Linked DNA regions of Macaca mulatta. The protein of the gene in region 2 purifies or fractionates together with the protein of the main gene of each other region. This does not show direct contact. Links are inferred from orthologs where the notes say so. Each region holds a gene or a part of one and is shown on either strand. Other genes may lie near its edges.

What was found.
Region 1: the proteins of CDK5RAP2 (region 2) and PCNT purify together in Homo sapiens (co-immunoprecipitation; 4 studies listed by BioGRID and IntAct, with this or other methods). This does not show direct contact. The link is inferred for Macaca mulatta from reciprocal best matches to the Homo sapiens genes CDK5RAP2 and PCNT.

Annotation. Positions count from the first base shown.
Region 1 is NC_133408.1:1,140,434-1,143,854, forward strand, and holds part of PCNT (pericentrin), read right to left. Parts: intron 2,869-3,421; coding exon 2,749-2,868; intron 2,096-2,748; coding exon 1,866-2,095; intron 448-1,865; coding exon 371-447; intron 1-370. UniProt on the Homo sapiens protein: Integral component of the filamentous matrix of the centrosome involved in the initial establishment of organized microtubule arrays in both mitosis and meiosis. Plays a role, together with DISC1, in the microtubule network formation.
Region 2 is NC_133420.1:37,623,218-37,626,965, reverse strand, and holds the start of CDK5RAP2 (CDK5 regulatory subunit-associated protein 2), read right to left. Parts: upstream 2,682-3,748; 5' UTR 2,493-2,681; coding exon 2,434-2,492; intron 1-2,433. UniProt on the Homo sapiens protein: Potential regulator of CDK5 activity via its interaction with CDK5R1. Negative regulator of centriole disengagement (licensing) which maintains centriole engagement and cohesion. Involved in regulation of mitotic spindle orientation.

The sequences.
Region 1 (3,421 bases), on a different chromosome or scaffold from region 2:
GGGAGTGAGCCAGAAATAAGCATGATGCTCTACAAGGAAAGAGACGTGAAGTGAGTTTCAGTTGATTTGGGGAATAAAAAAGACCATTTTGCTAAACACTATTAAAGAATCAATATATTGAGCATCTCAGCATTTCCCATCACCATATGCCCCTGTGAACTGTGCTCATAGCTAACGTGAGCTCTGACCTCCCTGTGCTGGGCGCACCCTCCCTCTGAACGACTGCCCTGACGGAATTCACGGATTTTCTTACTGTGCTTTATTACATCCCCATCAACACTGAAAAATGACCCAAAGGTGAATGAAAAAGCTACAAACAGTAGGAAGAAAAGTTTGTGAGTCCAGCGGCCAACGGCAGCGGGAGTCCCACCTGGGCGAGGGACTTTGCCTTGTGCCAGAGCTCCTTTCCGATCTACTTCTTGCCATTTCTTAACCAAAAAACGTAATCTACAAAAAAAGGAGACAAGACACACTTAAAAGTATGGCAAAACAGGAAGGGAAAGAGCAATGAAAACCCCACTGTGATCAAACAAGCAGAATGGGGCCTTGACGTTAAGGCTGGCCAGTCTGTGGACTTGGGCCCTGCACGCCGGGTGCACACATCCAAAGTGCTTGCAGGGCTGCTGGCGGCAGAGACCTTCCCACGCCCGACCACCTGACGAAGCCTCACTGCAGCCCCACCATGGACCATCCGGCTCCCCAGACACCCGCCGTGGCCCAGCTCAGGACGACTCCAGTTCAAAGTCAGCAGCCACACCAGTGACTAGGAAACACACGCTGCTCCGGCCTGGTGTGCAGGACCTTCGCGTCTTCATCCTGTCACAGATGCCAGCGGACAGGCTCAGCACACGGACACCCCAGCCCTCGCAGGAGTCCGTCAGATGGTAAGCACGCAGGGTGCAGGTGACGAGGGCATGCAGGTCAGGGTGCACGGCCCCAGACGTCCTGCTAGGATGGCCTTCGGGACAAGCATCATGCCTGCGGCTTCCCTCCTTTGAGGCACAGCAGACACTGCCGATTCCTCCATGAGACCCGTGAAGGCCCCTTGGTGGCAGCTACCCTAGGCAGTGCTCTCACAGGTACACAGAAACTGCTCCTGTCTGGGACACTGCTGCCTTCAAATGATCCCTCCTCGACAGGAAGACCCTGGAGGTAGGACTTGGGTCCGCTTACCTCCCCCATCTAGTGCCTAAAATGCTTCCTCAGGCAGGGTGTTCTCCCCACGAACACAGGATGGACAGATGGGTGGATGAAAGGATGGACAGTGAAGGCCTACGGTCAGGGGAGCTCAGAGCCGAGGAGACAAAAGTGCCCCAGGACCAGAGAAGCTGAGAGCACAGCACCCCAGGAGGCCTCGCCTGCACCCCACTTCAGCCCAGCCCGCAGCTGCAATGACGGAACTTCTTGGCGCCTGGTCTCTGAAAGGAACAGGACTCCTAGCTACTCTCTGCTGCATCTGCTCCTCCAGACAGGCCTGTGTGTGGCCTCAGGGAACACTGTGGCGTCAGGGAGCAGGCACAGCCACACAGCGTTTAGGCGGAAAAGCAGTTTTCGAAATTCAGCACATTCTAAAACTATGAAATGGAAAAAACTGTGGCACGAAACCCATTAAAAGTCAAGATGTTCCTCTGTAATACAAAGGTGCCCTTAAATCTTTAGTTTCAGAAGGTGACAGCTTCATACACATGACTTCTTGAAGACAAGTTCATCATCTGTATTTTCTCTAAGGCCTCAAATGCCATTCATCTTTAAAAAGAGAACATATTATAGAGTTTCAAGGAATAAAATCACCAAAAAACCATGCAGCGTGCTGCCCATTCACGGGGACAGACGCGGACGTGCTGATTGGATGTCACGGCATTTACCTCAATACGGCAACAACCACCCTGACGGCCGTGCGGAACCGTGTGAAAGGGCGAGATGTGGTTTTCCGCTCCGCTTTGGAAGGAAATACCCCCAAATGGGCAATCATGGAGAGTGTTTCTTGTTCAGAATCCTGGAATCCACCAATCAACAGCAAAAGATACTTCTTTTGATAAATCAGAGCTTTTCTAAAGCTCTCTGCTCTCAAATAATGCAGGTACAATTTTTCCATCTAAAAGAAAAAAAACAGATTTTACCATAGGAAAGACGCCTGTCTTGCTGACAAAGCACATTTACACCATAGCTCTCTCCAAAGAGCCAGATTGTTTTTTCTCAGCAAATCATCACAGAGGCCATCGGCCTTGCAACAGTATCTGTGGCCAGAAACAACGTTGCTGTTCTGCTCAAAGACCAATTTGTGTTTGTCAGACAAGATCTAGAACCACAAGCTTCTCTCCACAGCATCATCAAATGGGCCCCTATGAAGGCTTCTTGAATTTAACCTCTTAGGTAAGGTCCAAATTGGGCATGGGATGGACGTCACAGGGTGGGGCCTGTGTGCCACCAGGAGACTGCAGCAGAGCTTGGGCCAAATCCCGGCAAGTCCCTGGGCCAGGCCTCCCTCAGGCTGCAGAGGCTGCCATTTGCTGACTTGGTCAAAGCCTTCCACGTTCCACACTTAACAAGCATAGAAACTCAGTACGTGTGCACAACTAAACCAAAATTCAAGCTGAAGTTTATTCTGTGAACTTCCTTTCCTTTAGTGATGTGATTGCTACACCCGGCAGACGAGAACCTTGTGGTCCCCAAAATACTTTGCCTGCAATTTACAAACCCAGGACTTTAAAAAGCACCAAAGTTCTATACTCGTGGCACTGTTCCTACCTTGACGTTGCTGGGGTGTGCTTCCTCGCTGGCAGCCGGTGGAAGCCGGCCAGGGTCTGGGCGCCTCAGGGAACTCTGTGGAGCCGTTTCGTCTGGCTTCCAAGCAGCCCTTTCCGACTTCTGTAAGGAAGCACAGCCCACACTGTCTACAGAGCTGCTCGTCAACAAGAATATCTTAGAGAGGCAGCCAGGGGCAGGTTAGGGAGAATGCCGTGTGCAGGGAGGCCAGGCTGACCACACCACGACTGGGCCCTCCTCATCTTCAGCACCCCCTCAGCAGGGCCTAGGTTACGCCGTGCTGTGATCAGTCAAAGAATTAACATGGAGTAATTACGACATGCCACTTGCTGAAGTATGACTGCAAAAAAGGTACATTTTAGTAGAAACAGAAAACTAATTATTTGTAAAATCACCCCAAATTCAAAGCTTTAAGCCTTAAACACTCATATTCTCTGGTCCTAGAAATGCCAGCCACCGATAACTACAAACACAGTCAGCTCTCGACAGCTGTGGGATCCGCATCCATGGATTCAACCAACTGTGGGTGAAAAATATTCAGAAAAAAAGATGTGTCTGCACCAAACACATACACTTCTTTTCTTGCCCCTACACCCTAAACAATACAGGATAACAACTATTCACAACAACTATTTACGTGGCCTGGCCTTTTGTG
Region 2 (3,748 bases):
TGCAAGATGGAGAGTTACAAAGATAGATAGTGGTGACAGTTCAGCAATAACACAAATAGATTTAATACAATTGAACCATGCTTTAAAATGGTTAAGATGGAATGTATGCAGTATCTAGGTCCTGCAAAGGAGGGAGATGAGGGAAAGGAGAATGTTTGCTGTTCTGTTGAGTAGTTACTCCAGGTCAGACACTGAACTAAACTTTTTAAGATTCATTTTAATCCTTATGCCAACCCTAGGCTTTACACCAACCCCTTTTACAGATGATAAACACTGAGGCTCACGGAGGATGAGTGACTTGCCCCAAATCAAGGGGTTGTTAAGTAGCAGAACTGGGATTGAAACCCAGCTGGGCCTGGGACCCCAAAACCCAAGTGTTTGGCCAACAAGCACTGAAATGAGAATGGCTATCTGAGAGAATAATAATGGAAGTTACGGTAACAGCAATAAGCAGCATTAAAAGTATAAAGCAGCAGACTGTGAAGAGCAGATTTATATTTTAAAAATAGTTCTCAGGCTGGGCATGGTGGCTCACACCTATAATCTCAGCACTTTGGGAGGCCAAGGTGGGCAGATCACGAGATAAGGAGATGGAGACCGTCCTGGCCAACATGGTGAAACCCCGTCTCTACTAAACATACAAAAATTAGCCAGGCATGGTGGTGCACTCCTGTAATCCCAGCTATAGGGGAGGCTGAGGCAAGAGAATTGCTTGAACCCGGGAGGCAGAGGTTGCAGTGAGTCGAGATCGCGCCACTGCACTCCAGCCTGGTGATAGAGCAAGACTCAAATAAATAAATAAATAAATAATAGTTTTCAAACTGTAGTATAAAAAACTATTAGAGGTGCAAAGGACAATACAGGAGAGAAGCCATACTCCAAATATATTGGGGCAGTGGAAGTAAAACAGACAGAAAAGGGCATGATGAAATATCACAGGACCCAATTAGACAGGAACTGCAAAGCATCTTAATCTGTGCCTGATACATGAAGGTTCTCAATAAACAGAAAAACCATTTGTCCAAGTTTACCCAAGATAGGCCCTATGTATGTCTGCTGCCCGGGCATAAATATTAATTATTTTCACTTTTTTTTTTTTTTAAGACAAAGCCTCACTTTGTCACCCAGGCTACAGTGCAGTGGCATGAACACAGCTCACTGCAGCATCAACCTTCCGGGCTCAAGCAATCCTCCTGCCTCAGCCTCCCGAGCGGCTGAGACTACAAGTGCATGCCACCACGCCTGGCTAATTTTTGTATTTTTTGTAGAGATAGGATTTCACCATGTTTCCCAGGCTGATCTCACACTCCTGAGCTCAAGAAATAGGCCCACCTCAGCCTCCCCAAGGACTGGGATTACAGGGGTGAGCCACCGCGCCTGGCCCTTTTCACTCTTAAGTGTCCCAGTTAGCACAATAAATACCATGGTTACCCTTTCAATTAGGATCTGTTGACTAAAAGCAGCAGCTTGTCCCTAGTAGAGCTGGATAAACAGTGCAGGTTCTCAGTCAGGGCTCTCCTCTTCCTTCTTCTACTCACTCTCCAACCAGGAGTCCAGGACAACCACAGGGGCCAGCCCTGAAGCAGTGTAGTGCTCTATTAGGCCTTCCTACCAGACTCCAGCTCAACCAGCAATGGGGACTCCCAGTCTCTTGGGGCAGGTCCATGGGAGGCCACTCTTGGCCATTATTCCCTGATTCATATCACCTTTGATGACAGTAGTAATAATAACACTAATGGCAACACAAGATCATTTTTTAAGTACTGATTATGTGGCAGGCACTACAGGTGCCAAGCTAATGGCTCGACAGGCATCACCTCTTTTAATCCTCACCCCAACTCTATTGGGTAGATATTACTAGCCCATTTTACAGATGGGAAAGCCAGTGAAATCACTTTACCAAGGTCACACAGCTAGTCAGTTTACAGGGCTGGATTTGAATCCAGTTTTGTCCAACTCCAGCCACGGCTCTTAACCATTGCACTCCATTGCCTCCTGGGTGGCCACTATCTGACCCAAAAAGCAAAGTCTGGGCATATCGGCTACACTCTCCATAATGAAAACAAACCCTCAAACCAGAGTGAACCATCAGGTGCCCTCAAGGTCCCTGTTCCGCACCAATCCCCACTAACGGGATACTCCAAGTGGCCCCACCCTGGTCCTACTCTTTCACAAAATCGCTTACTTGTTCTTCAAGCCCTCTACAAAGTACGTGGTGCAATGCTACAGGCAACTGTGGTGCAGATCGTGGCTCCCAGCCCCCCAAAGTGTCAGCTGGTGGGCCCCCCAGAGACCCTCTCCGAAGGAGCCCACCCCACACACTTGCCCCTGGCCAGACACCCTCAAAAGCAAACCTCAAGGCCGCGTTAGAGTGAAACCCCATCAGCTGGAACCCCGGCCCGGTTACCAAGACCACCAATGCCCCGGCCGCACCTGCAGCCGCTGAGCGTCCCAAGGAGGGTGACGTCCTCTTCCAACACCGAGTCCATCATGGATACAGAGGTGGTGGCGGTGTTGGTGTCAGTGGCGGCGGCGCCACTAGTACCCCCCGCGGTAGCGACCCGCCGAGCTCCCAGGGTCCCCGCCCCCTCCACCCCAGCGCTTGTTCAGACTCTGGCGGCGCCGCTGGAATTCAAACCACAGACGCCGCCATCTTTCCCGGCGCTTCTTCCTACGGAAACGAGGCGGGGTCACCGAGGCGCACGCAGTGAAGCCGACCGGCTGGCGCCAGAGGACGGGCAGGGAAGCGGGGGTAGGTGCCATCTTAACTAAGGGCACAGCGTCCGTGTTTTTGCCAGCAAAACTAAGAGAAAAAAAGGCCGGCTGTCATTTTTTGTGAGGGCACTTAAGACGAGGCGAGGGCGGGTGCCATCTTTGTTGAGGGCCAAAGCCGGCCCTAGTCCGTTAATTTACGCGGGAGATGGGAATGAATACAGCCCCTTAGGCATCCTCAAATTTCCTAACCTCGTGTTTGCTTTTCTGGAATAGTGACCCCAAAACTGGGATTTGACCTTGAGTTGAAACTCAGATAACTGAGTGCTGCCTTGCTTCAGAAAAATCCTACATGAGGAATCTCAAGGCAAACAGTAATTTGCAGACTTAGTTTGAAGCAAATAACTTACTCCCATGAGTCAGTGGTCAACAGCACTCTCACTCCAGTCACTCACCTATTGATCTTTTATTACTATTAGGACTCAAAAGGCACTTGTGGTCAGAAAACTGAGGCCCAGCGAGAGGAAATGACTCTCCCAAAGTAATTAAGTATTGACAATGTCTTTCAACTGGAGCAGGGTCCGCAGCTCCTGCCAACTAGATGAGGGCTCTCTGCATAACCCTGACTGCCTTTCATTTTTGTCTTTTTTTTTTTTTTTCTTTTTGAGACGGCGCCTCACTCTGTCGCCAGGCTGGAGTGCGGTGGCGCGATCTCAGCTCACTGCAACCTCCATCTCCACCTTCACCTCCCGGGTTTAAGCGATTCTCCTGCCTCAGCCTCCCAAGTAGCTGAGATTACAGGCGCAGCGCCACCACGCCCAGGTAATTTTTGTATCTTTAGTAGAGACCATGTAGATTCACCATGTTGGCCAGGATGGTCTCGATCTTTTGACCTCGTGGTCTGCCCGCTTCAGCCTCCCAAAGTGCTGGAATTACAGGCATGAGCCACAGCACCCGGCCCCTTGGCCGCCTTTCTTAAAGCACATAGCAATCACCAAACACTTAGATAATCTTGGCAGAGCTTAAGCAATGAAAT